4 linked regions of the Arabidopsis thaliana genome follow. The protein of the gene in region 2 interacts with the protein of the main gene of each other region in a pairwise test. Each region holds a gene or a part of one and is shown on either strand. Other genes may lie near its edges.

Region 1 (6,368 bases), on a different chromosome or scaffold from region 2:
CGAGATTGATTCACTTGAGAACGCTACTTCTCTTCAGAACTGGCTCTCTGATTCAGGTCTCCCTCCGCAGAAAATGGCTATTGATAGAGTCGACATCGGTGAGCGAGGCCTCGTCGCTTCACAGAATCTCAGAAAAGGAGAGAAATTGCTCTTCGTTCCTCCTTCTCTCGTCATCAGTGCTGATTCCGTAAGTTCACACTCCTAATTTCACTCGGAATCAAAGAATCTAATCTTATATTCCTTGATCTCACTTGCAAGCAATCCCTCACCTCTTGTTCAGATCAATGCAAGGTTAAAGTATCTGGCTTTCATGAATGTGAATATCTAATATCGGAGATTGGGTTTTAGGAATGGACCAACGCAGAAGCTGGTGAAGTGATGAAACGTTATGATGTTCCAGATTGGCCTTTGCTCGCCACTTATCTTATAAGTGAAGCAAGTCTTCAGAAAAGCTCAAGATGGTTTAACTATATCTCAGCTCTTCCCCGACAACCTTACTCGCTTTTATACTGGTAAGTTTTGTACTTGTTTCTGTAGCTGAACTTTGGTCTCAGTTTCTTACTCCCTACAGCCTTTTTGTACTATTTCAGGACTCGGACAGAGCTTGATATGTACTTGGAAGCTTCTCAGATTCGAGAACGGGCAATTGAAAGAATCACCAATGTTGTTGGAACGTGAGATATTGTTCTTTCTTTCTTTCTTTCTCTCAACTGCTGGAAATCATTGATGCAGTCACTAGTACTTATTGTTTGTAGGCTAGGGGGTTGATGATTATGTCTTGCAAGACACTGCTCATGTCTTTTTCCTTTTTCTTTTCCTCAGTTATGAAGATCTAAGAAGCAGGATATTTTCCAAACACCCTCAACTTTTCCCTAAAGAGGTAACTGGTATACGCCCATTTTGCTACAGCTTACTATTTGGACATGTAATAAGATGCACTTCTGTAATTACAACTAGTGTTGGTTCTATTTTATTATCTGAGCTTAAATTTGTTTTGTCCACATGTATATGAGTGTGCTATTTCTTGGTTGCAGGTTTTCAATGATGAGACATTTAAGTGGTCTTTTGGAATCCTATTCTCACGGTTGGTAAGAACTACTGTATCATAAGCAATCATTATCTTGATAATTGATGTAAATCTAGATGTCTTGAATTTGAAACAACAGACTTGTTCTTTAATCTTAGCATGACTTTCTGCATAATATAGCTGTCTCCAACAATTTATTGTTTGAACAATGACCACTCACAACCAAAATATTGCATTATTTCGTTTCTCTTTCCTTCCGTGTGCTGCGTGCTTGTCTCTGCAATTCAGACTTAAGCTTCTCTAACACAGGTGCGGTTGCCTTCTATGGATGGAAGATTTGCCTTAGTTCCATGGGCAGATATGCTTAATCATAATTGTGAGGTACTTCTACTTATCTTTATGACCAATTAGCTCCTAGATTCTCCTAATCAGAAAGCATGATTGACTTATGGTAATCAATATTTCAAAATCTGCTTGGAAAGGTTGAGACGTTCCTGGATTATGATAAATCTTCAAAAGGAGTTGTCTTTACAACAGATCGACCATATCAACCAGGTGAGCAGGTAAATAAGATAAATTCATTCAGATAACCTGAGCGAGCATTGAAGTTTAATATAAGTCAGTGTATAACACAAAGAAGTCCCGTTTACACAGTTTGCCTTTTAGCGCTTCAGTAAGTCAGTCCAAAGTGGAACCAATGTTGTCTGAAGTCTCTGATATGTTTCAGTAACATGACATTGTGCAGGTTTTCATATCCTATGGGAATAAATCTAACGGAGAGCTATTGTTATCTTATGGGTTTGTTCCCAGAGAAGGAACCAATCCTAGTGATTCAGTAGAACTAGCATTATCACTTAGGAAAAACGATAAGTGTTACGAGGAAAAGCTGGATGCTTTAAAGAAACACGGATTATCGACGTATTCCATTCTCCACCATCCATGTTCCCCTCTCAAATTTGTAGATCTCTCTTGATTAACTTGAGTTTTGTTTTGATTGTTTGTGTTAACTTTTCTCTGGCAGACCTCAATGCTTTCCCGTAAGGATAACGGGTTGGCCAATGGAGCTAATGGCATATGCTTATCTTGTGGTGAGCCCTCCAGATATGAGAAACAACTTTGAAGAGGTTTGGCAACTCCATCTTGACCCTTTTTACCATCCAATTCTTCCCAAATTCATAATACATCTCTTATCAATTATTATCCATTTCAGATGGCGAAAGCTGCTTCAAATAAGACATCAACAAAGAATGATCTAAAATATCCTGAAATCGAGGAAGACGCATTGCAGTTCATACTGGACTCATGCGAAACAAGCATATCAAAGTACAGCCGATTTCTAAAGGTAAGTAACAAAACAGCTCATCTCTCTCTCTTTGTGGGAAAATTTTCACTCCATCTGCTTATAGTTTGCTTTGTCAATTATCTAATTGTAGGAAAGTGGATCAATGGATTTGGACATAACATCTCCAAAACAGTTGAACCGAAAAGCGTTTCTGAAACAGCTAGCTGTAGACTTGTCCACTAGTGAGCGCAGGATACTGTACCGTGCTCAATACGTAAGGAACAACTTTCTAGCCAATACGATAGATAAGAGTCTGTGGATCGATCCATGATATTGTGGAATCTGTGTTTTTTTTTTTGTTTTGTTTGGGTCAGATTCTGAGGAGGAGACTGAGAGATATCAGAAGTGGTGAGCTGAAGGCTCTACGGCTCTTCAGTGGACTTAGGAACTTCTTCAAGTGAATGTTGAATGAGGACATTTCAACAGCTTTAAGATGGATCAAAGGTAGGCCTCGTTGTGCTTCAACCAAAAATGTAGTTTTTTATTACAAAAAAATTGAACGTTGGTGTAGGCATGGTTGGATCTGTCTCACTCGTATAGGAATATATTGGTCCAGCCATATATGTAATTTGATCATTTTCTATAAACTCAAAACCTGAACCTAAATTGATTAATTAAGGAAACGCATGAGAGAGTAAGGGTAGAAACATGTTCTTCGTATTTGATCCGAATCGAACTGAAATAATCGATCCAACAAACAAAGATAATTTGAAAATTAAGAATATATCTGACTACAACTCATAACGAAAACCGTACCAAAACTCACACTCCTTGTTACCGCAAACAAGATAATCTGATGGTACACGTCAGAACATTTGTTTCTTTAGCAAAGCAAGTAAACATTCCACTGTGGCAAAGTAAAAAACGAGAAACCTATAAAGTCTTCCTAATGAAACGTACTGATTTTATGGAGTTTCCATTTTCGACATAATATGACGTGGCAATATCTAAATGGTTTAAAGATGTTTTATCTCCAATGATATAACGCCACGTAAGCCCGCTGACCAAATAACCCAAAGAGTAAGCAAGCGACGTCGTTTATAGTTTGATGATCTTGTCGGGTAACGAAACTGCCCCTTGAGTCAAAACAGGCTTCTTCGTGTCCGATTCTGAACGAGCTCGCTCTTTCTCATCCAATTCTCTCCACCGTCTTCTACTCCGATCAATCTTCAAATTTTCTTAACACTCATCGACCAGATCGAGTTTCCATCGATCTAATCAATCAATCATCAGATTTGATCTTCTCAAGAAGGTAAATCCCTCTCACTCTCTGTGTCAAACCTAATCACCTCGTAGGAATCGAAATTGGAACAATTCAATTTGGTTTGGTTTGGAATCTCTAGTCGATTCTTCTTCTAAACGATTGAATTGCGTTTTGTGCTTTGATATAATTCGAAATTATTGTGGCAGATGAGCTTGAAGGGTACGATCGTATTACTAGGGCTCTTATGGAGCTTCCAGGCTACGTTAGGGATTAGATTCGTGATAGACCGTGAAGAATGTTTCTCCCACAAGGCTGAATATGAAGGTGATACGCTTCATGTCTCTTTCGTCGTCATCAAGTCTGACTCTCAATGGCATTTTAACGAGGATGGTGTAGATCTTGTGGTATGACTTTTTTTCTTCTAATTGAACTTTTCTACATTCTACATTGCAAAATCGTCGAAAATCAATAGAATTGGTATTCCTAAACAATGCTTAGGATTTCCATTGTTAATGTTGGTAGATAATTTGAAGTATGTATTGATAAAGAATTTGGTTACTCTTTAAAGCTGTTATATTGTACCATCTGGTTAATTTGGTGGTTGTTGTTGTTGTTGATATATTTTGGATGCATTTTGAATAGATACATGGCCCAACAGGCGAACAAATTCATGACTTCAGGGAGCAGATAAGCGCAAAGCATGATTTTGTTGTCCAAAAAAAAGGGGTTTACAGATTCTGTTTCACAAACAAGTCTCCTTATCATGAAACCATTGACTTCGATGTACAGCTTGGTCACTTTGCATACTACGATCAACACGCAAAGGACGGTAAGGATTATCTGTTTAGTTTTGTTTCAGTTTCGTTTGGTGATGAGGTATTTAGCTGAAGATGGTTTTTGTGCAGAGCATTTCACTCCCTTGATGGAGCAAATATCAAAGTTAGAGGAGGCTCTTTACAACATCCAATTTGAACAACATTGGTTAGAAGCTCAGACCGATCGTCAAGCTATCGGTAACATTTTTTCCTCTAAAAACCACATTTGTTGTTCTCACTTCAATATTGAGTGATGGTTTGAATATGGTTGTTCCTTGTGCAGTGAACGAGAACATGAGCAAAAGAGCAGTACACAAAGCTTTGTTCGAGTCGTTTGCACTGATTGGGGCAAGTTTTCTCCAAGTTTATCTTCTGCGTCGCTTGTTTGAACGCAAACTCGGCATGTCTCGTGTCTAAAAGTATCGAGTTTATTATGACTTTGAACTTATTTTGCCTTAAAATGTACCAGGGAATCTTTACTTAAAACCTTTTTACAGACAGATCGTAGTTCATTGGAAGATTTGCTTTCTCCCATGTTCAAGAACTAATCCTCTCGTGATGATAATTCTTTTTTTTCTCTTTATTAACAGACAACTTTTCCACAAGCTAGGTTTTCATTTCAATAGAGAAAATAGTGATTCCTTAAAACCTTTTTTCCCTAAAACAAAGAGAATAACAATGTGATCAAGCTTTGAATAAGACGTGTCAAAAGTACTCAAAATCCCTTAACTGGATTCGAACTCTTATAGAGAAGGTTATAAAAGTGGACACTAGACTAAGTTAGTTGGGCCCAGAGTAGATAGATAAAGCCAGCTATCATTTTCTTAGTCGTCGTACAAGTTACCTGAAAATAAAATAAAAACACAAACTTTCCTGAAAAAGTCGTCTCCAGTTTTAAGCATTGATAAATCCGACAAGAAGTCCGATTTTGTTCCATAGCTTGCTTGTGTTTTTAGTGGATTGAGTCACTGAAAGAGAAATCATAAGGCTTTGTTGATGATGGATCATTTGGTGGAGACGAATTCAGTTCCGAGCAGATTGGTGGAAGAAAGGCTTGATGAGATTCGTAGAGTAATGGGTAAAGCTGATGACGACCCGTTAAGGATCGTTGGTGTAGGAGCTGGTGCTTGGGGAAGCGTTTTCATTGCAATGTTGCAGGAAAATTACGGTAAGTTTAGGGGCAAAGTTAGTGTGAGAATCTGGAGAAGAGGAGGCAGAGCAATCGATAAAGCCACAGCTGAACATTTGTTCGAAGTGATTAATTCGAGGGAAGAATTGTTGAGGAGGTTGATAAGAAGGTGTGCTTATCTCAAGTATGTGGAAGCTAGATTAGGGGATAGGGTTTTATATGCTGATGAGATATTGAAAGATGGGTTTTGCTTGAATATGATTGAGACTCCTTTGTGTCCTTTGAAAGTTGTGACTAATCTTCAAGAAGCTGTTTGGGATGCTGATATTGTCATCAATGGTTTACCATCAACTGAGACGTTTCAGGTGTTCAATGAGATTAGTAAGTATTGGAAAGAGAGGGTTAATGCTCCTGTTATTATCTCTTTGGCTAAAGGTGTGGAAGCAGAGTTTGAGCCTCATCCTCGGATTGTTACTCCTACGCAAATGATCCATCGAGCGAGTAAATTCACTTCCCATTGTCTTTTATCTGATTGCTAGATGAATATTTGATATCATCTTCCTTAGTATTTTTGTTGATGTAGAGAAACTTTCTATTTTTATTAAGGTTATATGAGTATTGACTGTGTTGGCGTTGAAGTGTATGATCAGTAGTTGTTGTCATTGGAAATTCTACAGTTTGCTTGTCATATTCTCTTTGCAGCTGGTATTCCTCTTGAGAACATTCTCTACCTTGGGGGACCTAATATTGCTTCCGAGGTATACAATAAAGAGTACGCCAATGCACGGATTTGCGGGTCTGAAAAATGGAGGAAGCCTTTGGGAAAGTTTCTAAGGCAGTCTCATTTCATA
Region 2 (6,382 bases):
TAGGTAATTTTGATTAGGTATTTGAATTTAATAGTTTTATGGAAGAAAACTGGAGTTGTTAAAGAAATATGAATTTTAATTTTTAAATAAAGACTTTCAGATTGGACTAATATCATTCTATTTATCATTTTGGACATTAAATTCTTCAGTTTATTGTATGATAGCTAGATACGATTTGACCCTCTCCACGTAGAAATTCACTCTTTCCATTTTTTTTTTTCTTTTACCTCAAGTTCCACCACCGTATTGTATCGAGCCATCAATTGAAAGGTATGCATTCTTTACCATGTGCACATTACCATTTTCGTAACAAAAACGTGGTTACGAATTTAAAGAAGAAAATGCCACTAAGATACTTGTTGTACTGGCTAATATTTTTAATATGAGCTATTAATGTTACTATATTTATGCATAGCAAATAGTTGTTTAGATGACCAAAACAGTATAACACATTTATAAGTTGTCCAGAAATCAATCGATATATTTGCCAAAGAAAAAGAGACGAAAAAAAGTTGACCTCCTAATAGTTAGTTACTTCTAAAATCAGCTAAAACTATATTTACTATATAAATCATCCACATCAACCAACATTCTCACCAAATCATCTCGTTTCACCAAAAACATTACAATTTAAGATTTGCAGACTCACAATACTTACGACATGGCAGTTCAAGTGTCAAAGAAAATTTGTCGTGTATTGATGATTGTAATTTTATTTGCAATGATGTTTTCAGCTCATTCCAACTCGATAGATGTGTGTGTCAAAAATTGTGGCGTGAACCAGTGCATGAAAGCATCAAAGAAAGCGACTCCAGCTATATGTGACAACCCTTGCAAGATTATATGTGATCCTCTCAACAACGAGCGATACATCGTCCCTCGAGGTAATGGTGGTCCTATAAAAAGGTTCTGCAGAGCATTTAGCTGGATTTGTAGCGCGTAATTGATCGACATTACAAAAATTGTCTCCTTTCTTTATGCATATATTATATATTTATGTTTTTTTGTATCATTGTATTGATCCATATTTCAAGTACTTATGTATCCTTCTTCCATAATTTTATTATACCTAATACTCCCTCATTTTCAAATTATATTTGTTTAAAGTTTTTCAGACAAATTAAAATAATTACAATTAATTTCTGTTTTTCTTTTTATTAATATGCTATGATTTTTTATTCGTGAAGACATTAAAAAAAACTAAATTTTTAACCAAACATCTACATTGAAAAACATAACCAAAACTTATTATGAAACAAATTTTAAGTTATAAACGCCAATAAAGTTGAAACAATATAGTTTAAAAATAAAATAACTAAAATATATGATGTTAATGTGATTTAGTTAGGCATTAAGTTTCCATAATTTGTATAGCTAATTTTTTTTGAACATAATGTTAAATTATATTCAAAAATATATATATATATATATATATATATATATATCATGTTTACAACAAGTGCAACTGTTTTAGAAAGAAAGCTGAGAATATAGAGTTGTAAAAAAGAATTATGTAGGCATTTGAATTTAATAATTTTATGGAAAAAACTGAAGATGTTAAACAAATATGGATTTTATTTTTAAAATAAATACTTTCAATCAAATTATATTAGTCTTGAATTTATAGATTTTATGAAAAAAAAGTTTATTGTGTTTTCATGGAGGAAAATGACGATAAAGACAATATGAAAGAAAATTATGTTTACAAATGTACATATTTACCTGGGAGGAGTCATATTAAATGATCTAATCCGCCTTAGTGTATTGTATGTATCTAGAACCTCTTACTTATTCATAAACAAAAGTACATATTTTCCTTACGTTTTCTTATAAACAAATGTACATAATTTCCTACTTATATATATATATATATGTATTCAACTCAAAAATTATAGACAAAACAAAAGGATTACGTATTCTTTTTGTTCCTGATGAATCTTTCACCATATTTAAGAAAAACTATAGGTTTGAAAGAAAGAATGTACCCCGATGATCGCCAAAATATTTAAATCACATGAAAAATAACAATGTGATTTAGTTAGGCATTGAGTTTTTAGGATACTTTTGGTGGAATTGTTATTTTTCATTTTTAAAAAAGGAAAGATTTTTAGTGTCCAATGATAAATTCAATGATCTTAAAAAATTATGTACAGTGAAAGGTAATCATTCCTTGTTAACGGTATGTATTCTTTACCATGTCATGTGCATATTACGATTTTCGTAACAAAAACGTGGTCACGAATTTTAAGAAGAAAATGCCACTAAGATATGTGTTGTACAGGCTAATATTTTAAATATGAGCAATTAGTGTTACTATATTTATGCATAGCATGCAAATAGTTGTTTAGATGACCAAAACAGTATAATACATATAAGTTGTCCAGAAATCAATCGATATATTTGCCAAGAAAAAGAAACGAAAACAAGTTGACCTCCTAATAGTTAGTTACTTCTAAAATCAGCTAAAACTATTTTTACTATATAATCAACACAACATTCTCACCAAATCATCTTGTTTCAAAACCACAACAAAAAGAAAAAAGAAAGAAAAAAAACATTACAATTTAAGATTTTCAGACTCACAATACTTACGACATGGCAACTCAAGTGTCAAAGAAAATCTGCAGTGTATTGATGATTGTAATTTTATTTGCAATGATGTTTTCAGCTCATTCCAACTCGATAGATGTGTGTGTCAAAAATTGTGTCGTGAACCAGTGCATGAAAGCATCAAAGAAAGCGACTCCAGCCATATGTGCCAACCCTTGCAAGATTATATGTGATCCTCTCAACAACGAGCGATACATCGTCCCTCGAGGTAATGGTGGTCCTATAAAAAGGTTCTGCAGAGCATTTAGCTGGATTTGTACCGCTTAATTGATCCACATTACAAAAAATTTGTCTCCTTTCTCTATGCATAAGTTATATATTTATGATTTTTTGTATCAATGTATCGATCAATATTTCAAGTATTTATGTATCCTTCTTCCATAATTTTTTATCTTTAACAATATTTACTTGTATACGGAAAATTTGTTAAAAATCTAATTATTTATATTTATATATGTAACAACTGAAAATTGGTAACTTGTATAAGCATAATTTATGCTGCATAAACATATTTGCATTTAACTACACGGAAACTTACTAAAGAGAAAAAGAGAATTCTCGCATATAAAACAGAACCGTTACTCTGTTTCTCTTGGCGCTTTAATTAGGGTTTCTTATTTAGCTTTTGCATTGCCACATTCCTAAAGGTTTCATCTTTTGGATCCTTCTCTGACTCACTTCTTAAAACCCATCAATGGAGGAAGGAAGTCTGTGGCGTCAATGGACTATGTTCAGATCTCTGTTATCGATTCTTCAATGGTGGGGTTTTAACGTTACTGTTATCATCATGAACAAATGGATCTTTCAGGTTTAAAAAGTCTCTTACTTTTATCATTAAAGACTTAGCCTTTCGTTTGTTTTATCTGATCTGCGTTTGAAATTTGGTACCTTTCCTTGTTTGCAGAAACTGGATTTCAAGTTTCCATTATCAGTTTCATGTGTTCATTTCATATGTTCGTCGATTGGAGCATACATTGTGATTAAAGTCTTAAAGCTTAAACCTTTGATTGTGGTTGATCCAGAAGATAGGTGGAGGAGGATTTTTCCAATGTCATTTGTGTTCTGTATCAACATTGTGTTGGGGAATATTAGTCTTAGATACATTCCTGTCTCTTTTATGCAGACTATCAAATCTTTAACTCCTGCAACAACAGGTTTAGGGTTTTTTTAAGATTGAGAATTTTTCAAAATAAAGTGATTTTTTTTTATTGTTCTGATTGGTTTTTGTGTAATGGTTTTTTGAGTGCAGTTGTGTTACAGTGGTTGGTATGGAGGAAATATTTTGATTGGCGTATTTGGGCGTCATTGGTGCCTATTGTTGGAGGGATTCTTCTTACTTCTATTACAGAACTTAGCTTTAATGTGTTTGGATTCTGTGCTGCTTTGTTTGGATGTTTAGCTACCTCTACAAAGACCATTCTTGCAGAATCTCTTCTTCATGGATACAAATTTGACAGGTCAATGTTCTGTTTCCTGAGGTTTTGATCTTCAGTTTCACATGATAGGTGTTGAATGTGTGAAACTTACATTTGGTTTCAATGACATGCCATGCTCTCATAGTCCAATACTTGATTTGCTTTTTCATATTTCATGGAACTGAGTGTTTGTGTCCTCCTCATTTTCATGTCTCTCTATGTAGCATAAACACGGTATACTATATGGCGCCTTTCGCGACCATGATTCTCGGGTTACCTGCATTTTTACTAGAAAGGAATGGAATTTTGGATTGGTTTGAAGCACATCCATCTCCATGGTCGGCTCTCATAATTCTTTTCAACTCAGGTGTTCTAGCTTTCTGTCTTAACTTCTCCATCTTCTATGTCATTCAATCCACAACAGCAGTCACATTCAATGTAGCTGGAAACCTTAAGGTAAATGAACAAATCCCAAACCACATAACATTAATCTTTATATTCTAGTTTCAATAACTCAGATGTTTGATGGATGGTATGTGATTTGCAGGTTGCAGTAGCTGTGTTTGTTTCATGGATGATATTTCGAAACCCGATATCACCGATGAATGCTGTTGGCTGCGGAATCACACTTGTGGGCTGCACCTTTTACGGATATGTAAGACACATGCTTTCTCAGCAACAACCCGGAACTCCTAGGACTCCTCGTACCCCAAGGAACAAGATGGAACTGATCCCTCTTGTTAATGATAAACTCGAGAGTAAAATTTGAATATCATCGGTAAGTCACTAGACTATTGAACGCACACAAAGAAGTTAGATTTGATCTTGAACATCCACAAGAGAGTTATAGTTTAACTATATGTTTATTTTTACTCAAACTAGAGAAGTTAGAGAAGTGCCATTTTATTTGTTTCCATTGTATTAAATTATCTATCCTCATCAAACCAACTCAGAGATGACCACAAAGATACTTAAAGCAGGCCCATTTTTGTATTCAATTATGGTAGTGCTTTCACTTACCTCAGCTTTTTAATTTTTCCTTCCAATTTTGTTTGTGCCATAGTGCCATGTTCTAACATCAGAGACTTAATACATGACAAAATGGTGCAAGTTTGGGAATCTTTGAAAGAAGATGAAAATAGAAAGTTAATTTGACAATATATAAGAAATGATTATTCATTTTCCCGCCTTGATACATGAAAGAGCTTAAGACGGTGTTTAAGGGAAACGAATATTTTAGCTCTCAAAACAGCTCATCAAATTCGTTGCTTTAGCTTCTCAAAAGTAAAAAATGGGCTTTTTCAAGTGGGCCTCAACTTATGTTGCTGAATTTACCGCCATATCCTTCCCTTACAAAAAATCAATTTTCAAAAAATCTTCATGCTACAGTAGTCTGAAACCAGGTCAAAGGAGTTAAAGAGAAAAGGGCAAAACAGTCAAACAGCATAAAAAGATGTCTGTGTCTTGGAGATCGCAAAGCTACCGTTTTCTGTTCACTCTGTACAACACACTTGTCTCCTTCTTCCTCTCTTCTCTTCTCTCTCTCCATTTCAAAAAGGGTGAAACTTTTCTTCTCTTTCTAGAAGAAGAAAACCAGAGATACAGAGAGATTCTCTCTCTACCAAACCCCTGGAAAAATCTCCAGATTCATCTTCCATAGACCAAACTAAACTCTGTTCACTGTACTCTCTGTCATTGTCCTGTAAGAGAAATTGAAAACCCTAGGAGATTTTGAATTTCGTAAAACCCTAAACACAAAAATGAAAATCCCAGAAAAACCCATCTTCTTAATCTTCGTCTCTTTGATCCTAGCTTCGAGCTTAACCTTCACAGCGACAGCGAAATCAACAATCGAGCCTTGCTCAAGCAACGACACTTGCAACGCTTTACTCGGCTACACACTCTACACCGACCTCAAAGTCTCAGAAGTCGCATCTCTCTTCCAAGTAGACCCAATCTCTATCCTTTTAGCTAACGCCATCGATATCTCTTACCCAGACGTCGAAAACCATATCCTTCCTTCGAAGCTCTTCCTCAAAATCCCAATCACTTGCTCCTGCGTCGACGGAATCAGAAAATCTGTCTCTACCCATTACAAAACCCGACCTTCTGACAATCTAGGATCGATTGCTGACTCTGTTTACGGAGGCTTGGTCTCTGCTGAGCAGATCCAGGAAGCTAACTCGGTGAATGACCCGTCGCTGCTTGATGTTGGGACTAGTCTTGTTATCCCCTTGCCTTGTGCTTGTTTCAATGGCACCGACAATTCTTTGCCGGCTGTTTATTTGTCGTATGTTGTGAAGGAGATTGATACATTGGTCGGAATCGCGAGGAGGTATTCGACTACTATTACTGAT
Region 3 (9,764 bases), on a different chromosome or scaffold from region 2:
CTAATTAAGCAACATCCAAAACATAAGTAAAACACTATTATAGAAGCTCTTACAAAGAAAAAATATGAAGAAAGCTACGGCATTGATGAAACATATCGTTGCATTGTTGAGTTCCATGGCGAAGGCAAAATCTATAGCCATAAAGAACAAAACGAGTGCTTTCAAGACACGAGTACTCATGTTGTCTCTAGTGAAACACAAGAAACTCGGGTTCCGTTCCATTTCCAACAAGATTCACCACCTCTTGGGCCATGCGGATCAAGACGACGATAACGACCAGGACCAAGACAAGAACAAGGCTATAGTCCTCTACAACAGCAAGGCATCCACAATGGCTCATCATGAGGAATATGACGTTCACGAGGAGGAAAGCGACAAGTATCCTGATCTGAGGCACACGTTGTTCGAAGGAGAGGAGGACTTCGGGGACTTGGAGGAGGAAGGTCAAGGTAGTTCTGTGATAGATATGGTGAGGACCTCGAAGGAAGAAGAAGGAGAGAATTTCAAGCTAGAAGATGAGATCGACCATGTCGCGGATCTCTTTATTTCTAGGTTTCATAAGCAGATGAAGCTTCAGAAACTCTTGTCCTTCAAGAGGTATCAAGAAATGCTAGCCCGAGGCACCTAAACCCATATCCATATATATATATAAACATGTTGGCAATAGATATGAATAATAGATTCATATTATGATCTTTGCTAACGTACGTTCTTATTTTGTGTTGTCTATGATAAATCCTTCGAGTTCTCTTATTTTCTAGGATCGAAATATTACGGTCTCTTAGATCTGTTTTCATTTAATATGTTGAAGTTGAAGGAAGGATCTGCTTTGCGGAATATGTTTTCTTCCTCCTTGAGACCGTACTGTGTAAGATCTTTTAAGTGTTACAATATAGAGCATTATTTTTTGGCTTATATGTCACTCCAGGCCTTAATCATATGTTGGTCCATTTGTTTCATTCGCTCAGACTCAACAGTCAGAATTCATGATCTCGTTAGCAATTCACTTTGCCAATTAGAGACACAAGTTTATGTTGTAAAACTACACTTAAAATGTGTTAAAAGTGTAATCTTGACATCACTAAAGTAACTATTGATACACTGTGAAATGCAAAGAAAATTGGAAGCTAGATAATGCACAAAATAGTGAAATATGAAGTAGAGTGTTATAATATTGAGTCTTGACATCACACTCCAGACCCGGCCTTGAGTTTTACAAGCCTACAAGTGAACAATGAAATGGGCCGCATAAGTTTTATCTATTTTAGAATTTTGTTGAAAAAACAAAAAAATTCGGTCTCACTTGTCTCAAAAGTCAAACCCATGAACTGATGATGTACCCACCATAATTGAACCACTAGACTTAAAGAAAGTTTTCTAGAAAAAAGCCAAACTCAAATTATATTATTAGCAGCTGCAAACCTATGCTTCGCCTGGTTGGCCCAAGGGCCGGCTCTACATAAGTCTCCTTCTTTATCTTAATTTGACGCTCAAGCGACCTATTCTGTAATCAACCATAAACTTTGTCAGTTTTCTTAGATTGTAGTAGGTTGGATTTGTTTTTGAACTTTTAGTTTACCTAAGGAACAAAATTAATCATTCGTAACCATTTTAAGGAAACAAACTTAACCATTCATAACGATTGTTTCTGATTATTATCGATAGCAATTGTATTTAATTATTTTGATACTTATATCAAGTTTTGATTATATTCTAGCTGCATAATTTTAAAGTCTTTTAAACTATCCCAAGTGCAAGGCAAATTAAAGTAGTGAATAGGGTATCAACCCATAAATAAAGACGTAAACGCAAGAAGACTTATGAAAAGCTAAACTAATCTAGCTAGAGTTGTGATATAAGATGCTTTTGAGTTAAGAAATTATTTGTCATTTTAACTAAAAGAACACTATTAATAACATATAAACAAGTTAAACACGCAAATGCATTGGTGAGCAAATAATCAAGACGTATCTAATGTTGATATCTCTATTCATTATGTTAAATGAGTAATGGGTATTGAATATCAAAACTATCTTTAGTTGTTAATATTCGAATATAAGTACAAAATAATAGTACAGATAACTCCATGATTACATGTTTACAACACCAAAGCTGTAACTATATAAACTTCTACTATCTTATACTTAATTTGGCATTAAACTAAGTAGTGAAAAAGTAACCAACAAAACGGTAGGGATATAGAAGAACAAAAAAAGATAACTCAGATAATTTTACATAAAAATGAAAAGAATTTAAAATAAATATTTATTTGTATAGTTGTTTCTTGTTTTATTTTTCTACAACGTATATAATTAATCTAGAAGTTCTCTTTGTGGAAGTCAAACTTGGTAGTTGTCTTTCGAGAAAAATCCAAAGCTAGATTTTTTAATTCCTTTATCATTCCTGGCATTCCACAGTAGAAGACTCCTGCAATCAAAATTCATATTAGTATTTAGTCTAAATTCATCACTTTATTAATTATTATACAACATCACGTACATAACGAGATTAACGGTCGAGATTAGTTACCTATTCTTTTGCCGGGATGTTGAACAGCGATCTTCTTGTAGACTTGTCTCCAGTTAGGTTTAGCGAAGTGGGACTTGACACGTGTACCCGACACAACATCCACACCGTTCTTAGCGTGTTGCAACGACTGAAGCATGGCAATGAGAGCCACTCTTGCATCACCTTCCTCGTACACACTCGTGCAATAATTGTGAAGCTCGATGATTCCTTCCTCGTCTAACTCCGAAATCTCGTCCATTATTCCCTTGAACCACTCGAATGATCCTTGTTCCCTAGTCACCCAGTAGAAATAAGCTTTCCTTGTCTTAAACCCTTTACTATTGTTGTTACTGTTATTGTTCTCAATGTCGCTGTCGCGGTCAGGACCTTTCATGTTGTTGATGATGTCCTTAAGGATACTGATCATAGGCGTGGCTCCAATGCCGAGACCTACGAGGAGTACCACGTCGTATTTCTTGTAGTCTTGTGCGGGAGCACCGTATGGACCGTCGATAAGGACCTTCGGGAACGGGAGGTTTCCATCTCCTCCGTCTGCTCGGAGAAGACCGCTTTTACCGGCGGTAGGAGGTTTGCAAACCTCGGAGAAAACGGTCCTGAGCTTACGTGTCCAGTCACCGAGAGTGCGGATATGTACGCTCAGGTAATCGTCTCCGGGAGCTGATGTGATTGAGAAAGGATGCCATTCGAATGGAGATACGGCTCGGCAGTTCACCAACATGAACTGTCCACTTTTGTATTTGAATCCTTGTGGCTTCGTCATGTGTAGAGACAACACGTTCCCGGGGTAAACAGCCACCTGTTGTTACATATATATAGATTAAGTTCAAAGGCAATTTTCAAACTTTTATCAAAAAGAACTATAAAATAAGATGGTTTAAAAGTATTAGTTGAAATATTTCTTGAAACATAAGGTTTTCAAGAGATAAATAGAAATATATCTGACCTTGATCATCTTAACCGGTTTGATGCTTGATCTGAAAGCACGGAGCAGCCTCTCCGATGCATATAGAAGGATGGGTACAGCAAGATACATCCATGTCTACAAGAATCATACAAACAGGTAATAAATGTTATTAACCGGAAAAAGGAAAGAAAATAAGAAATTAAAACAGATAAAATGAGGTTTGAAGAGAGTACCGTTTTCTGATACCAAATCTTTGTGAGGTAGAGCTTGATACCATGGACAATGAGAAGAGCATAAACAATGATGAACAAATGGTGGGTGTACCAAAAGGCGTTGAAACCGGTAAGCTTCTTGAGGAAGTTAGGTAAGTTAAGCTTGTTACGTCGGAACCAAGGCGTCGCGAGTGTAAAGGCTATAGCCATTAGCACAACCATCACAATGCCAGTCCATCCTTCCACTCCTTTCACAAACCACCAGTAGCTAGTCGGTTGATCCCCAAAGTATTTTTCCATCGGCTCATAGGTGTCCTCATCCGCGGCAATTAAACGTGGAAAATCACACGTTAAATGGGCACCCGCATGGAGTAAAACACCGACGACTATCCCGCTTGCAATAACCTTGTGGAAGTTAAGACTATCATCAAAAGGAACGACAGTACCAAGCTTAGTCTTGTTCCTAAGCCAAGTGATGGTGTTTCGACAAACAGGCAACAATATGAGAGCCATGTTGAATTTGAGAGTCTCGGCGCCTCCTTTGGCGACACAAACGCAATAACCCATGACACCATAGGCAGCTTTGTTCTTGTACTGAATGAATTTATAAGTAAAGAGGCCACCACAGATGCCAAGCCATAACATCATTATCCATAGTCTCTGCCAATTGTCAAGTATGAAATATTTGATTTTCTCCGACCATCTCACTAAAGGGTTGCTCTCTTTTGCCGGTCTAAGCTTCTGACTTAACATCTGACTAAGTATCCTGCTGTCTCCCATCCGCACCGACTGGTTTGGTGCTTGTAATAGCAACATTTCCAAGTTTTCGATCTGTTTCACCAATGTCCATATCATATAATTAACTAAAACGTTACAATAAAACATTAATGTTCCAAACTGTTTTTCTTAAAAACACTTTTCATAGGTTTCTCCAATAATTAAAAAACAATATACTATCGGAAGCCGCCTAAGACTTTCTAAGCTTGGATTATAGTGTTAGTTCATATATTTTACAATTTTATTGGTCATTTCTTCATATCGTAACCACTAACCACCCATTGTCGAGATTTTGTTGATTGGTTTGGTAAAAAGTTCAAGATGGCCCAATAAGTTGGAAATTAAAAAACATCATGGTGACCCAATTTTGACCACTAAAGACTTCTAGAACGTTATGTTTTTCCACGTTTTTTCTAGTATTTTAAGAGTGGTTAAATTTACGACGTACATAATACCATTAGTGTGATTGAGTGGGTGAAAGTGGACCACACGTACCATAATAAACCCAGCATTGTCTGGGTCCAACTCTTCCATTATCAGTGCCGCATATTCTTTGGCTTGCTTTTGAATATTTGAGAGCTTGTTTGCAGAAGCACTAAGACTAATAATCTGCAATAAATTACCAACAAATTAGAAAACAAAAGCTAAAGTATTTGAAACATTAATAACCTAAGCTAAAGTAACAAAGACTACTACTCTATCTATCTATTACCATTTTGTCGTGTTCACATGAAGTTAATATATTGATGATGTTAATAGTAAACGTCAGCAGATAAAGTCAGTGGGGATTTGCGCGTGGACAAAATTGTCAAAATAATCAACCAAGAATAACGTATAAAATAAGAGAAAAAAAATTCAACCAGGAATATGAATAAATATAAGATAAAAAAAATGTATAAATATAATAAAATATTTGAAAAAGATAATTATTGAGTGGTGTGTGTGTTTTCTCACCTCAGCCACCTCTTCTTCTGTTACTCGCCCATCTTCATCTTTGTCCACCCTGACCAAACAGTGATGTCATATATTAGTTACAAATCCACCAAAACTCCACAAATGATTAATATTACTACTTTTGGTCCTTAAATTCTGATGACCGTTTAATTTTCATTAAGAGTCAATATTAAACGACAAATAGTGATTACGCGTTATATATTTATTGTGGGTTAGGTGAAGATATGTAAAAAAAAGCTTACATGTCAAAAAAGACTTGGAGTTTGGCATCAAAGCTTTCGTCTGAGATCTGTTCCCAGAATATCCTAAGCTGTTCCTTTGTGATTGCATCGCCGGAGACGTTATTCCGGCGAGCTAATGCTCTAAAGAGCTGGTCAGCGAAGTCTTTAGATTCCTTATTCATTCCTAGAGTAAAAAACAAAACAAAAATGAGACTAACACAAAAATGGAAACATATAGTACTAATAGAATTGCTTAGTAAGAAGTGATTTACTTACCTAAGCATTCCCAAAACTTGGCAGAGAGTAAGAGGCCGTTGGAATCAGCGGAGAGTTTATCGAAACGTTGGTCGACGGCCGGCCATGCGGCCGTCTTGGTGGCAATGAACTTGAGACCTTTGAGTGCGTGGATGGCCGCGGAGCTCGTGCGGTCAAACCGCCGCACGGCCGGGGAGGGACGTCTAGAGAACACGCGGCGGAGCTCGCGGGAGGCGTTCTTGATGCGTGAGGAGGTGCTTCGGAAGAAAGATAAGGAGGTGGTGTTGTTGAGGCTGCTCTCGAGAGTCTTCTTCGTAAGAAGGGCTAGCTCCGGGTCCTCCAGGTGGCCTCCACCTCCAGCTGCTTGTTGGACACTATGGACGGCCACCGAGTCGTCCCTGATGTCTAGCGTGATCTCCACGTACTCATCGTCATCACCACGGCCGCCAGCAACACTATTGCTTCTCTTGGGAAGATCGTCGGCGAATCTTGCGTTTTTCTTGGACGCACGTTTAGGCCGGCCAAGCGGACCGCTAAAGGCACCACGGTCGCTAGCGATGCTCTCCGTGTCCGAGTTGGTGTCCGAGTTAGCTCCTCGTAGAATCCCAAGTTCATGGTCGTTACTTGAATTGCCTCGTCTCATTTTCATCGAATTCGAGAAACCAAAAAGATCTCACTAGATTTGGCCAAGAAAACCACAGAGATCTATACAAATAAACACCCGTAAGGTTACTGTATTAGTTGATAGAGAAAAAATAACCGCTCTCAAAAGGTGTTTGATTTTTGTGTATGGAAGAAATTGATTTTGTTTAAAATATATTTATAGAGTGAAGGAGGAATAGATGAAATAAATGGCATGCAAATTGCCATTCTTCTGTGCTAAATCAGGGAAGGTAGTGGGAAACTATGGATGGACCGCTCCGGTCTGGTCAAAATCCTTTACTGACCATTTATTTTGACTTTTTTTTAATTTCCTTTTTTTTTTGTTCTTCTTCTATTCTTCATTTCTTCCTTACCTTTTTTATTTATACCGTGTCATACATTTCAAACACCGAAGTCATTTATACACCAACCCCGTGTGTGAATTAACAAAGAAAAACAACCCCGAGTTATGTCAAACACCGAGTCATTTATAAACTTTTGTTTGAAGAACTTAAATTGTTATTTTTCAATGTATTTGGCAATCATGCATATAGTATCTAACTTTTCCATAAGTCAATCTATAATTCATTTTGGATCGTATATTGATGATACTATATAAATATGTTGCTTCTAACATTTGGCTTGTAAACTGTATTCAAATGTATATCTAACCTACTGTACCGAACAAAAAATTATTATGGATTCTTGTACAAACTCCATGTGAGATGTATTGTTCATTTTCTGTTTTTTCTTTTTTCTTTTTTGATAAAAACACATTTCTGTTTTATGTAAATATGAAAGTCAATTAGCTAGATCATCAAACTATAACTATCCAGTCTATCATCGATGACTTATTTTTCGTTTGAATGTGGTAGTCTTAAAGGAACATCGTTCATGTTCCATAATGGATAAGAACAGATAAGCGATCCGATCGCTAAAAAGAGTGGACATGCTTAAGTTTATTTGTCTCTTGGGCACTGACCTTCTACTTTGGTTTCTTGTTTGGAGTATACTTTAGACAAATAACACAGTAATTAAAATGACTTTTGAAATGACAAAATGAGATTTAATTAATAAAATGAAAATTTTATGTTATTTGAGGTAATTCCTCTACATAAAGACAATTTGAATCTATTAGCATTATACAAACTAGCGGAGATATCTAAAGTTTATATTGTCTGCATCAATACGACTTACTTTAATTAGTATTGAAGTATTTAACTTAGTCATTCATAAACTCTATTTTATATATACTAAACACAGATTCTCGTAATAAAAATAAACCTAAGTGTATGCATAAAAACGGAATTAGGGTATAGATGCTCACTTTTGAGCTTTTATAGTTTTTGATAACAAAATTATAAAGCGTAATACATAAACTAAAATTCAAAGATCATAATTAAAAATTATGTGTTATTTTAGTAAACACTAGTCGGATAGTGTTATATTTAATTGATATAACAAGATTTTTGTATTGCTAGAGGTAATATTTCTATATATATAAACAATTTTGTAATATATTAGCATCACAAGAACTAGAGGGGATATCTAAAGTGTATTTTTGACATCAAGAAGATTTTTTTTCTAATATTGAAGTATTTTTATTTAGCTATTTTTAAGAGTAGCATGAAATAGAGGGCAAATGAGTAGTATAAAAACATAGAGTTATGCAGGCATCATGAACAGATGTTTTGTCTGTTAACCAAAACTTCGACGCCGCCCACGAGAAAAGTCAGTTTAAGGGTCTTAAATAATTTACCAAATGGAAAAGAGAAATAGATACATAGATGGAGACAAAACATATGATATAATTGAGCACATAGTACAAATCGATGGTTTGTTTTCTTTGTCCCTATTTAAATAGAACCCGATGAGAAAGTAAGGTGGCTAAAGAAGATATATAGTTATTATCAAAATAAGAAAAGAAGAAAAGTTAGATAGTCTAATAATCGCTGTTAATTAATTAGAAGACGAACCTTTGACTTATCTCCACTGCTATCAAAATTGTGGTAGTTCACAAATAAAATGACCCTAACCATACACTATTCACACGTTACGGCTACATATACGTTGTACTATACAACAAAACTGCAAACGATGTTTATCATCACCATACGGAAGATCATGACGCTTATTGGTGATCATTCTTTATCTTTTTTGAATGTTAAATTTCTTTAACGAAAAAAATGATCACTGTTAATAACGGCGTAACAAGGTTTATTTTTCGTAGTTAAAAATAAAATAGTATTGCTAAAGATGATTATAATGGATATGAGATGAAGGTATGATAAGACTAAGAGAGCAATTTAACAAGTCTTTTGATTCAGTTGTGCGGTAGCTAAATCGCTAAACCATCACATGTGCGATTGAACATTTGTTTGAATATAATATGCTTATGTTGGTGGCTCCCACAACTTGCCAACATGTGTATTTTCGACAAAAGGCTTTGCTTATATAGCCATGAAGTTTTAATTTTTCTACGATATACCGTATGTTTACAAAAGTATAGCATAAATTGGATTCCATATGGGATGTGAAGATGAAGATGGCATTTGTTTATTTCTAACAAAAACAATTAAGGTTTTGGTTGATGAAACTTATTTCTTCACCTCCCTTCTCTTCTCTTCTTTACTTTCCGATTCCGATTAAATGAAGCTGCAAACAACAATAACATTTTTGAACTCCAACACAAAACGTTAATAACGGTAAAAAAAAAAACGAAAGTAAAACTTACGAGATTGTTAATGGGGTTCTTCCAGTAGAATCCATGAATGATTAGAAAGACAAGATTGCAAGCAATGAGAACGTAAATCGGTAAGGCATGTATTCCCATCCACTCTAACACAAGGCTTGCTCGTTTGTATCCATAAACGTCGACCTGTGAAGATAGTGAGAGATAGATTTACATTTTAACCATGAGTGATGCTTTCATTAGGAGTCTCAAGATAATAGCAAACCAAACCATTAGGTATATCGCGGATAACAAAAATCCCGAGGCCCCTGAGGTGACACACATGTAACTCAATGTGTATAGAGGTTTATTTAGATGCATTCCTGCAAGCAACCAAAAAAACGAATGACATGTGATTTACTAAGGTATTTTGATCTTGCAATGAATTAGGACAACAAATGATGTAAATGAGAGCTATAAGAGTCAAGGAAGATACCAAAGAGGTTCAGTGCGAGACCTAACATCAGAAGACAAAAAGAACGTAAAATCCATTGATTCAAACGCTTTTTGTGATCCTGTAAAAAGTTAATTACATATAG
Region 4 (10,070 bases), on a different chromosome or scaffold from region 2:
GTTCGACAATTTGAACGCCTGGACCAATTCTATTTGCTGCTTTCTTAATGTCTGACTCCATCCAATTTCTAGGGACATTACCAAGAAAGAGACGATGCTTTGCTTGGGTAGTCGAACATTTTATCCTTTTACCCTATTGAATTACATCAAGTAAATAAACAAATAAGAGCCAGACAATTTACTAAGAATCAGGTCAAAGAACTTACTCTGAAGTCAGTGTTATTTAGAGTATCAATTGCTTCAGCAGCTAAGTCCTTACTTCTGAATGTTACAAATGCATACCCCTTTCCATCACCAGAATCCTTTTCCCTCATTATCCTAACCTGTTGATATCACACCAAACTCAGCACAAGATAAATTAAATCACAACCATAGTTTAGGTAAGAAGATGTCAAATTACCTCAGTAACTTCTCCTATAGATCCACAGAAGCCCTTTAAGTCCCCTTCAGTAGCATCAGTAGGAATCCCTCCAAGATAAACCTCTGAACCATGTGGAGGAAGTGCAAGAAGTTCAACATGCCTTTTCTTTTCTTCTTCCTCTTCCGTTGCAACAGCATCCTCCTCCTCCTCCTCTTCTTCCACTTCAACCTCCTCCTCTATCTCCTCTTCTATCTCTTCAATCTCCTCCTCTTCAACTTCTTCGTATTCAACTTCCTCCTCCAGAATCTCCTCAGGATCATTGTCACCATCAAGGTCTACCCTTTCCTCAGATTCCATGGAGTCATGAGCCTCAGAAGCAGCAGTCCTCGTCCTTGACATCTTAAATATCTAGAAAAGAATGCTTGCAGTACAACTGTGGAGGAGACACAGAAGCAAGAAGCAAGTGGGGAGAGAGAATAAAACCGAGGAAAGGTTGGAAAAGAAACAATAAGAGGCCAATAGAAAAGAAGAATAAGAAGTTCGAATTGACGCTTTGCCATAATGCGGCTAAAAAGGTGACAAACAAATAGACAAAGAGAGAAGAGGGCGATGAAATGCTCAACAGGTGAAACAAAAAAAGATAAGAAACGAAATGACCCCTGAGAGCGGATAAAAACCATGATATCATAGGCCTTGGTTAGATGCAAAGAAGGTTAAAATATTCATGGCAACAAGAAAGATAAGAAGGGCTAAAGTCAAAATAGTATCTTTGCTTAGAAAACTCCAGCTCCATGTTAGAATCTCCCACAACAGACATTGTTCAGAATTTGCAAGTGATATTTTTTATGCTGCCAATCTAACCTGTTAAGAGAATCCTCAGCTTATAACTACAATTCTATTTGATTATTTCACACAAATTGACCACAATGATAGATACAACCAAGAACAACCCAATACACATACAAAGCTATAACTCAGAGAAATGTCAATCAAAGGCGTGTTTAAGCTAACTTAGCAATCATTGGAACAAAAATGAGAGAAAGATTCAGTTTTTAATTAAGATAAGAAGAGTTACACAAATCCCAATTTTGGATCCCCAACCAAAAAAAAAGATTCACGAAAGGAAACGAAGAGAGGCGCAATGAGATGAAAGAAGAAAGAGCGAGAAAGTACCTGAGAGAGCTGCCGGAAGAAAACCCTAATTTTGAGAATTACGGAGAGGATGAAGAAGTGTCTATCTTCGCGCACCTCAGGTGTTGAAAAATATGTATATGTGTATGTTGTATTGATATGACCTAAAAGATGCCTAAGCGAGACTATCAAGGAGGTGTAGTCACTTTTTATTATGATGCGACCAATCTTATATTACGGCTTATTACCGATCTTAATATACGACAAATTTGATTTTTATGCAAAAAAAACTTTCAAGTTGGATGAGAATTTGCGCCTTATATTTTTTTTACACATTGTTTTCAAAATTAACACTAGTTTTTTCTTAATTAACATGCAGTTTATACATGATCTACGTTATTTGTTAAAATCACATATGGAATAATTTCTTTAAAATTATAGTTTTACCATATACAATATGTTTTTTTTTTTATCAATTTTTAGCCAAAACTTGCCTATATAATCTAGCAAATAATACCCTAATCAATCATAATTAGTCTACGATTTTGTAAAAATGAAGCCATAAAATGTAATACAAATTTCTTACAAAAAAAAAAAGAAAATGTGGAATGAAAATATTTTTTCTTTTTGTATAAACAACTAGATTATAACCCGCGGTACACCGCGGAGACAATTATTTTTTAAAATTAGTATATATAAAAGTCTGTAAATTATATTTATCTATAAAATATTTATATTTTATAGTTTACAATTGTTATTAAGTAACATCCTTCCAAACCCGTTCTGCCAAACCCGTCCCGTTAAAAAAATTTGTAGTACACCGCTAATTTAAAAAAAAAAATTACGGGATTGCAATTATATTTTAGTTTGTCAAACAAATTTTTGTTTTAAATAGTTGTCGAAATCTAATTCAAATTTTGGAGAAATAAGATTTAGTGAACTGATAAGAAATGTATTTATGTGCGTTTTGCTCATTTTAAGGGATTGCAATTGTATTTTGGTTTGTCAAATATTTTTTGTTTTAAATAATTTCCGAAATCTAGTTCAAATTTTGGAGAAATCTGCGTGATATATGGGATTGGAATATATTTGGAATATTTTTTGTTTGTTAATCAATTTATTGCTAAAAGAAAATAAATAAATAAAAGCCAGTGGCAGCCATTGTAAATAAGTTCCAAATCTAGGATTTATTTTACAAAATGGCTGCAAAAATATATATATAGATAGGTTCACTTAATTACTTTTAATATAATAAAATCCGCACAAAATGTGAATACCTCAATTTTTCTATATCTTGGGAATTTTGAAAGACATAAGAATCAACACGAAAAATCTCAGTCTTTGACTCAGACTCCCACCGCGTAATTCCGAGCTAGGTTTCCATTTCTCCGGCGAATCGGACCTCTCTCTCGCTCTCTCTTCCAATTTCCCCTTTTTTCGTTTCCCAGGTACTGCTTCTTCCGATTCTAACATTTTTTGATCTTTTATAAAATCGGTCACATTATTCTTGATCGTATCTGCAGCGATGATTTGCAAGTAGCTTCCGCTAATAATCGCAACTCTCTGACGGATGCTATGGCAATGGGACTTATTCGTCTTCTTTCTATAGCTTTTACACTTGTTCTACTTTCAATCCTTCCTCTTCATCTCTCTCTCGCTGGTGAGTTTCCTTTCCCCGGATAAAATTGGTGATGAAATGTATTAGTTGATAGAACATTGTAATCTGAAATTGAGGTTTCGTTTTGTGTAGATGAGATAACATCTATTGAATCTGTACCTGACCTTCAGAAGCTAATGTATGTTGCTGTTGATGGGTTTCCTTGTGTACGTCTTCTCAATCTGTCTGGAGAGATTGGATGTTCAAGTAAGCTTCTTTTGGGCCTCTCAGCTACATGATTTTTATCTGTTGATGAGGTCCTCTAAGTTTTATGTTTATAAAAATACTCAGATCCTGGAATAAATAAAGTGGTGGCTCCAATCATAAAATTAAAGGACGTTAAAGATTTGGTTCAGCCACACACTATTTTGGTTACAGCTGATGAAATGGAAGATTTCTTTACCAGGCATGTCTCCTTTTTCATTTACAAAACTTTCATGACCTCTATTCGATTTTGTTAGTGATCTCTTAATTTGTGGAGTAGTGCTTTCCCACTCGCTTGTAGTTCTCATTTTGGTGTTTTATTTAACGTCAAACAAGATTTAGCTTTTGGGTGCCAAATCAGCCTTTTTGGAAAGGCAATTACATCCTTAAGAATAACGTATATCTAAGAGTTTGTTTTCATTAGTACTTGAGTATTTAAGGCAAACACTTTTAGTAATCTTCCATGACAGTGAAACAACAGATTGGAATGAGTATACCCTCTTATCACCATTTTTGAAATCTGCTAGAAATGTAGTCACTTGGTTGTTGGTGCATGGATTAGGTGTTTAGTGGAACCAGTAATTCATTGGCTTTTTCCGCTTTATTTTCATTCGACTAACGGAAAGTAGGTATACCTCCAAACACTTTACTGTAGAACCCTGCAGTCTGGCTTACTTCTGGCATTGTTCATTAGACTTGTACATCGCTTAGACACTCTATTCAGTAGAAATAACAGGACCACTCCTCTTTGTGCCTTTTCCAGGGTGTCAACTGATTTGAGCTTTGCTAGCAAAATTGGTGGTGTTCTAGTTGAATCAGGATCTAATTTCCAACAAAAGTTAAAAGGTACTATGTCCATCCACATATTTATGATTCTGTCAACTTGAATGGCTAATTCCTTAAATTGTCTTGAGTTCTTAATTCCCTTAAAAATAGTACTTGATACTTCTTATCTATGTTGATGGCGTTAGTGTTTCTTTCTTCTTTATTGTAGGGTTTTCTCCTGATAAAAGGTTTCCTCAAGCCCAGTTTTCACCCTATGAAAACGTTGAGTACAAATGGAATTCAGCTGTACGGTAGCGTAAACTCTGTCTGGATCTTTGAAATTACTTCTTCCTGTCAACTCTTTTATAGTGGGTTGGAAATTGTTTCAATCAGTTATCACCAAATCCATAGTCAAGCATTTCCGAGTTATATGCTGTTTTCTTCTGGAACTAAACTTAACTACCTGCTAACACACAAATACCATAAATCCTTTTCTTATGGTATAATTTTACTGGAGGAATGCATGTATCTGCCTAGATGATCACTTATAAAGAAGTTCAAAAATCTGTTGCATATTTATCTACCTTAATTAAAAGATAGTTCCTCTTATTGTTATCTACGGAGAAAAAATGATTTTGATTCTTATGAGTAGTTGCAGGCGATAAGTCTCTAGCCATTGACCATTGCTAAAAAATGATTATTTGCAGGCATCAAGCATCATGTGGAGAAATTATAATTTTCCTGTGTACTTATTGTCAGAAAGTGGCATATCAGCTGTGCATGAGGTAATCCTTCAAACTTGCATTCTTTTGCAAATTTTAAATGTGTCTATTTGTGTTGTCAGAAAAGCGAAATTGATGACATTTTTAGAAATATGAGGAAATGAACTCAAGGCTTAGAGAGGCATTATGACTGTTGGTCACTCTTAAGAGCAGTATTGCTTGATGAAAATATGGCTGTAAAATGATGCATGAGATATGTATCTCCAAGGTCATATGAAATGAATACTCCTAGTTTAAACTGAATTAGTCTGCAGAAATTTTTCTAAGCATTGATTACCCATTTTAAATAAGAATACAAATTTGGTCCTGGAATGTTTGTCTCATCCAGCTGAAGGCAACTCCCAGCTGCATCTGTAGATTTCAAATGCATGTTGCTTTCCATAGCCTGTAATTGGACTCAACCATAGCCTTTCCATTTGTCTTGTGGTAGTTGCCTTTAAACTGCTGGTCAACTATGTCATTCTATAGTATGTTGTTGTCCTTACCAGATGAGGTTCTGTCAAGAAGCTAGCTTTATGTTTCTGTTGTGTTGGTAGCAATCTAAAGTGTATAGTTTATGTGGATAGCTTCACTTTTTTCAGGTTATCGACTACATATTTACATCCTATTATATTTGCGCAGATCCTTTCCAAGAAAAAGATGAAGCATGGAACATATACCAGTGATGTTGCTGAATTCAATATGGTTATGGAGGTATATGGCTTTAGCAATCTTGCTCACTGGAACGTTAACCAGCTTTATGGATCTTCACTTTGACTTAGATTATGACACCCAATTCTCTATTTTTTGTATTAGACTACCAAAGCTGGAACACACAATTCGGAGGCTTGTTTGCAGGAGGGAACTTGCCTCCCATTGGGCGGATATAGGTAAAGATTTAGGTCTTTATTACTGTCTGATCTAATGACATATGAAAACCTTTTAAAGGATACGTTTCGTTTTCTAACAACTTTGTTATGAAGGACAGTGTTTGGTCCTCGCTTCCACCAATCAGTGTTTCGTCTTCCAACAATCGCAAACCAGTTGTGCTGACTGTGGCCTCCATGGATACTGCATCATTTTTCCGTGACAAAAGTTTTGGTGCAGATTCACCAATATCTGTGAGAACTTGCTATTTTCTGCTTTTGGGTTGATCTAGAATACATTTATTTACTCTTCTTATTCTTCTTTTCCCGATTTATTGCTCAACACGTTCTCCTTCTTTCAGGGTCTGGTAGCTCTTCTAGGAGCAGTTGATGCTCTTTCTCGAGTTGATGGTATTAGTAATCTCAAAAAACAGGTGCCAGTGTACCATGTGATTTAGTGTTATTTCACGCTTTTTGTTGTTTGCAAGCTTTAATACATGTAAATCGTAAATGAATGCAGCTTGTGTTTTTGGTTCTGACCGGAGAGACATGGGGTTACCTTGGCAGCAGGAGGTTCTTACACGAATTAGATCTGCATTCAGATGCTGTCGCAGGCCTTAGCAATACTTCGATTGAAACGGTAATCATTATTGTTTTGGTCTGACAAAGTTGATAGAGACAGCTAGCCTTATGCATGAAATCCCTGTGGAAAAAGTTGCCTGTGTTTCATCGTTGCTGCAACTTATTTGTTTCTTAGTAGCGCAGAAAGCAAGTTTAAGTGTTCCTTGTGAAATTGAATGTTCACAATTTTCTAAATCTAAAGATCGAATTCAGATTGCTTCTTCTATTATCTAACAGGTGCTTGAAATAGGATCTGTTGGAAAAGGTTTAAGTGGAGGGATAAACACCTTCTTTGCTCATAAAACAAGGGTGAGAAATTCCTGATATCCTGAAACTCTTGCATAATTCGAATTCGTTCGATAATGTGAAAACTGTCATAGGCGACTTAACCTCCACTTTTGGTGTTCTGCTTTAGGTTTCTTCAGTTACAAACATGACACTGGATGCTTTAAAGATAGCTCAGGATTCACTTGCATCAAAAAACATCAAAATTCTTTCAGCAGATACTGCAAACCCTGGAATACCCCCATCCTCCTTGATGGCTTTCATGAGAAAGGTACAATATATATTCCAAGTAAATAGATGGGAAGACAATTCAAATGTGTATTCGCACTATACTCTTTGCATATACTTCACCTTCAGTTGATCATGAATATGACAGGAGAAGTATACTTGCTTACTATTATGTGATTCTGAACCAGATTGCCTAGAGTGAAAAAGGTATAACATCATATTCATTGTTGCAGAACCCTCAGACTTCAGCTGTTGTACTTGAAGACTTTGATACCAACTTTGTGAATAAGTTCTACCATAGTCACCTCGATGACTTGTGTAAGAAGAGTCACAGCCTGTCTTTCTCTTCTTTTCGCTCCAAACCCCATTTTGCACTTTTGATTCCTTTCTGGTGTTGTATTGCAGCAAATATCAACTCCTCGTCTGTAGTAGCTGCTGCTTCTGTTGTGGCCCGAACACTTTACATCCTAGCAAGTGACAACAAAGATACAAGCAATTCAGCTCTGGGATCCATCCATGTCAATGCTTCTTTCGTTGAAGAGCTTCTAACCTGTCTTTTAGCTTGTGAACCGGGCTTATCTTGCAACTTGGTAAAAGACTATATTTCACCGACAAACACTTGTCCAGGCAACTATGCTGGCGTCATCCTCGGAGAACCTTCCTCCAAACCTTACCTTGGTTACGTCGGTGATGTTTCTAGATTCCTATGGAACTTTCTGGCAGATAAAACATCTGTCCAAAAGGGAAATACAACCTCAGTTTGTTCAAAAGGAGTCTGTAGCAAAACTGACGAAGTGTGCATCAAAGCAGAGAGCAACAAGGAAGGAACATGTGTTGTCTCCACAACCAGGTAAACTCTGTGCTTGGAAATTGCAATTTGGTTTGCATGCTCAAGTTCTCTCTTATGTCTCAAAATGAACCAAAATCTTAAGTCTGGTAGGCATTTTATAGGAATTATTAATTAGGATAGGCTTCAGAAGTGGAGTGTTTTTAGACTTGGGAGAAAGTCTATCTTTAGTTTGTTGACCTTTGAATTGAAGCTATCATCATTTTCTTCTTCCCCTGACCTGATATGTTGTATGTGACCTAACCAATTTGCTGTCTGAGCATAACACATTAAGTTCTGGTTTTGGCAGGTATGTTCCAGCTTATTCAACTCGATTGAAGTATAACGATGGAGCTTGGACAATTCTACCACAGAACTCATCAGATTCTATGGGGATGGTTGATCCAGTGTGGACCGAAAGCAACTGGGACACTTTAAGGGTGCATGTGTACACAGTCCAGCACTCAGCATACGACAATGCAGTCCTCGTTGCAGGTATTACAGTCACAACGTTGGCTTACATCGGAATTTTGGCTGCTAAGTCAATCATCACAAAAGCCTTGAAGCAGGACTGAGACTTGTATTTAATTCCCTCTCCTCTCGGCTCAAAATTACTTGTCAGTTTCCGTAAGACATTGCCTAACCAGCAACACCACCAATACCTTAGTGGTAGAAACCTTTTTTCTCAACCAAGGTTATTAAAATATGTCTTTGAGCTAATTCATGTTAAATTCTTTATTACACTGGCAAGAAATTTATAAGAAAAAAGTTTGCTTTCACAAAATCCTATAGATAAAGCAACAATACAATTCTAAATCCAGAGCAAAATCTTAGCTGCCAAGAAGAAAATAGTGTTTTGTTTTGTGTTTTGGTACCTCAATTAACAAAACAGCAATTTAAGCTTAGTTGTGATAGATTAAGAAGTTGTTACATATACTAAGTAAATAAAATCATAGAACCAGAAAGTGGTGAGACATCAAATACATATAAAGCATAAGCATCTCTACAAAATGTTTTAATGGAATCGCTTCCATGATCATAATCATCATCACAACATTAGATGAACAAGTGCTTGAACTCCCCATTTGCTAGCTTACATAGCTCGTTGTAGTTCTGTGTATCTGCAACCAAAAATAACAACCAAAACATCAAAACACAACTCAATAGCAAATCTGATAAACTCGACACAGTAATGGAATCACTAAATTACCAAAAGTGTTGCCAAAATTGGTCCAAGTTTCAGCTCGAATAGCGTTATCACTCTCTGCAATTCCAATAACCTCAAGGTAAGTAGTAAGAGGAGAAGGAGGAGACGATCCTCTAACAACGATCTGAAGATCATCAGTAGATTTGCCAACCACAGATCCAATCTCTGAACCAGTCACTTGAATCACAGTTCTGACTTTTTGGCCAATGAATCTCCTCAACAAAGCTCCGTTCACAAAAGCTGAAGGACTTGAAGTATCCATTGCTATCTACTGTTCAAAGATTCAAAAGCGAATTGGTAAATCAGTTTCGTATTCAATAGCAAAGATAAAGGGATTAAAAATTTTGAAAACCAGGAAATCGATTTTGAGAAATTCAATCGAAGGGAAGAGAATTGATTAAGAAGATTTACCTTGTTGGAGAAGATGAATCGTTCGTCGGAGTTGCAAATGATTAGCCCTAACTTCTGAGGACTTTCTAGGCTTTGAGAGAGTTTATGGAGAGAATTTGGGCGGGAAATGAAAAGCTTCACATGGCGCCAACAAATATGAAGAGAAACAATGGGACCAATCGTTTGATTATGGGCCTGTATGTATTGTACCCATTGGGCCTTTTAGGTGTTCCTTGGATCGTTGAGTTTTTTTCACAAAACCAGAATTCGTTTATTTTTGATGTTGGTACAATTAACACATTCATTAAACGCATTATTCAAACCATAGTTTGAAAAAAACAAAAAATGGTATTCAATTGCATTATTTAATTTTAAAAATTACATATAAAAAAATATAGAGATTTTAATAATTATTATATAATGTCAATAGTTATTTTTTTCTTAATTTCTTATGTAAGAAAAGTTACAAAGGAAAATTGAGAAATTAACTTGTATAAGATCATTTATTCTCTTTCAATTTCTTGGTTATAGCAAAAGCGGCTCCTGCGACGGCCACAATCACTGCTGATACTATGATCGTGTTTTTAAGCGTTCGTGCCCCATCTCTCTTTGCCTTTGCGTTTTCCCTCTTTTCTACGATTTTTTGTACCTTCACATTTCAAACCCAAAAGTAAATATATAAATCTTGTACATGGAAAAGTGATAAAAGCTTTTAATATTTGGTGGTTTATTTGAAACTCATGCAAAATCAACACATCCATTCAATAA

What was found.
Region 1: the proteins of GONST5 (region 2) and p24beta2 interact in a protein complementation assay, tested with the Arabidopsis thaliana proteins (one large-scale study listed by BioGRID).
Region 3: the proteins of GONST5 (region 2) and RBOHD interact in a protein complementation assay, tested with the Arabidopsis thaliana proteins (one large-scale study listed by BioGRID).
Region 4: the proteins of GONST5 (region 2) and AT3G52640 interact in a protein complementation assay, tested with the Arabidopsis thaliana proteins (one large-scale study listed by BioGRID).

The regions. Positions count from the first base shown.
Region 1 is NC_003074.8:2,451,848-2,458,215, forward strand, and holds p24beta2 (emp24/gp25L/p24 family/GOLD family protein), read left to right. Parts: upstream 1-3,391; 5' UTR 3,392-3,621; intron 3,622-3,779; coding exon 3,780-3,977; intron 3,978-4,215; coding exon 4,216-4,402; intron 4,403-4,478; coding exon 4,479-4,586; intron 4,587-4,671; coding exon 4,672-4,805; 3' UTR 4,806-5,071; downstream 5,072-6,368. Other genes in the region: AT3G07670 (Rubisco methyltransferase family protein), read left to right, coding at 1-187, 349-512, 591-674, 823-880, 1,035-1,088, 1,337-1,408, 1,510-1,590, 1,773-1,945 and 4 more; AT3G07690 (6-phosphogluconate dehydrogenase family protein), read left to right, coding at 5,385-6,018, 6,220-6,368. UniProt on the Arabidopsis thaliana protein: Involved in vesicular protein trafficking. Mainly functions in the early secretory pathway but also in post-Golgi membranes.
Region 2 is NC_003070.9:7,674,904-7,681,285, forward strand, and holds GONST5 (golgi nucleotide sugar transporter 5), read left to right. Parts: upstream 1-3,304; coding exon 3,305-3,418; intron 3,419-3,514; coding exon 3,515-3,764; intron 3,765-3,859; coding exon 3,860-4,067; intron 4,068-4,249; coding exon 4,250-4,481; intron 4,482-4,572; coding exon 4,573-4,794; 3' UTR 4,795-4,940; downstream 4,941-6,382. Other genes in the region: AT1G21864 (Plant thionin family protein), read left to right, coding at 662-943; AT1G21866 (Plant thionin family protein), read left to right, coding at 2,596-2,877; LYM1 (lysm domain GPI-anchored protein 1 precursor), read left to right, coding at 5,786-6,382. UniProt on the Arabidopsis thaliana protein: GDP-mannose transporter that may be involved in the import of GDP-mannose from the cytoplasm into the Golgi lumen.
Region 3 is NC_003076.8:19,394,322-19,404,085, reverse strand, and holds RBOHD (respiratory burst oxidase homologue D), read right to left. Parts: upstream 7,046-9,764; 5' UTR 6,502-7,045; coding exon 5,874-6,501; intron 5,782-5,873; coding exon 5,619-5,781; intron 5,426-5,618; coding exon 5,377-5,425; intron 5,032-5,376; coding exon 4,918-5,031; intron 4,477-4,917; coding exon 3,667-4,476; intron 3,569-3,666; coding exon 3,473-3,568; intron 3,326-3,472; coding exon 2,530-3,325; intron 2,428-2,529; coding exon 2,318-2,427; 3' UTR 2,025-2,317; downstream 1-2,024. Other genes in the region: AT5G47920 (transcription elongation factor), read left to right, coding at 65-628; AT5G47900 (heparan-alpha-glucosaminide N-acetyltransferase-like protein (DUF1624)), read right to left, coding at 9,123-9,149, 9,229-9,372, 9,457-9,548, 9,662-9,740. UniProt on the Arabidopsis thaliana protein: Calcium-dependent NADPH oxidase that generates superoxide.
Region 4 is NC_003074.8:19,513,288-19,523,357, reverse strand, and holds AT3G52640 (Zn-dependent exopeptidases superfamily protein), read left to right. Parts: upstream 1-2,813; 5' UTR 2,814-2,940; intron 2,941-3,015; 5' UTR 3,016-3,067; coding exon 3,068-3,152; intron 3,153-3,242; coding exon 3,243-3,356; intron 3,357-3,440; coding exon 3,441-3,555; intron 3,556-4,116; coding exon 4,117-4,199; intron 4,200-4,347; coding exon 4,348-4,424; intron 4,425-4,825; coding exon 4,826-4,903; intron 4,904-5,521; coding exon 5,522-5,593; intron 5,594-5,695; coding exon 5,696-5,769; intron 5,770-5,867; coding exon 5,868-6,000; intron 6,001-6,107; coding exon 6,108-6,179; intron 6,180-6,265; coding exon 6,266-6,385; intron 6,386-6,603; coding exon 6,604-6,675; intron 6,676-6,781; coding exon 6,782-6,922; intron 6,923-7,112; coding exon 7,113-7,729; coding exon of another isoform or gene 7,730-7,733; exon of another isoform or gene 7,734-8,015; coding exon 8,016-8,280; 3' UTR 8,281-8,485; downstream 8,486-10,070. Other genes in the region: AT3G52660 (RNA-binding (RRM/RBD/RNP motifs) family protein), read right to left, coding at 1-133, 207-323, 401-760; AT3G52630 (Nucleic acid-binding, OB-fold-like protein), read right to left, coding at 8,762-8,826, 8,916-9,174; AT3G52620 (uncharacterized protein), read right to left, coding at 9,802-9,951. UniProt on the Arabidopsis thaliana protein: Probable subunit of the gamma-secretase complex, an endoprotease complex that catalyzes the intramembrane cleavage of integral membrane proteins such as Notch.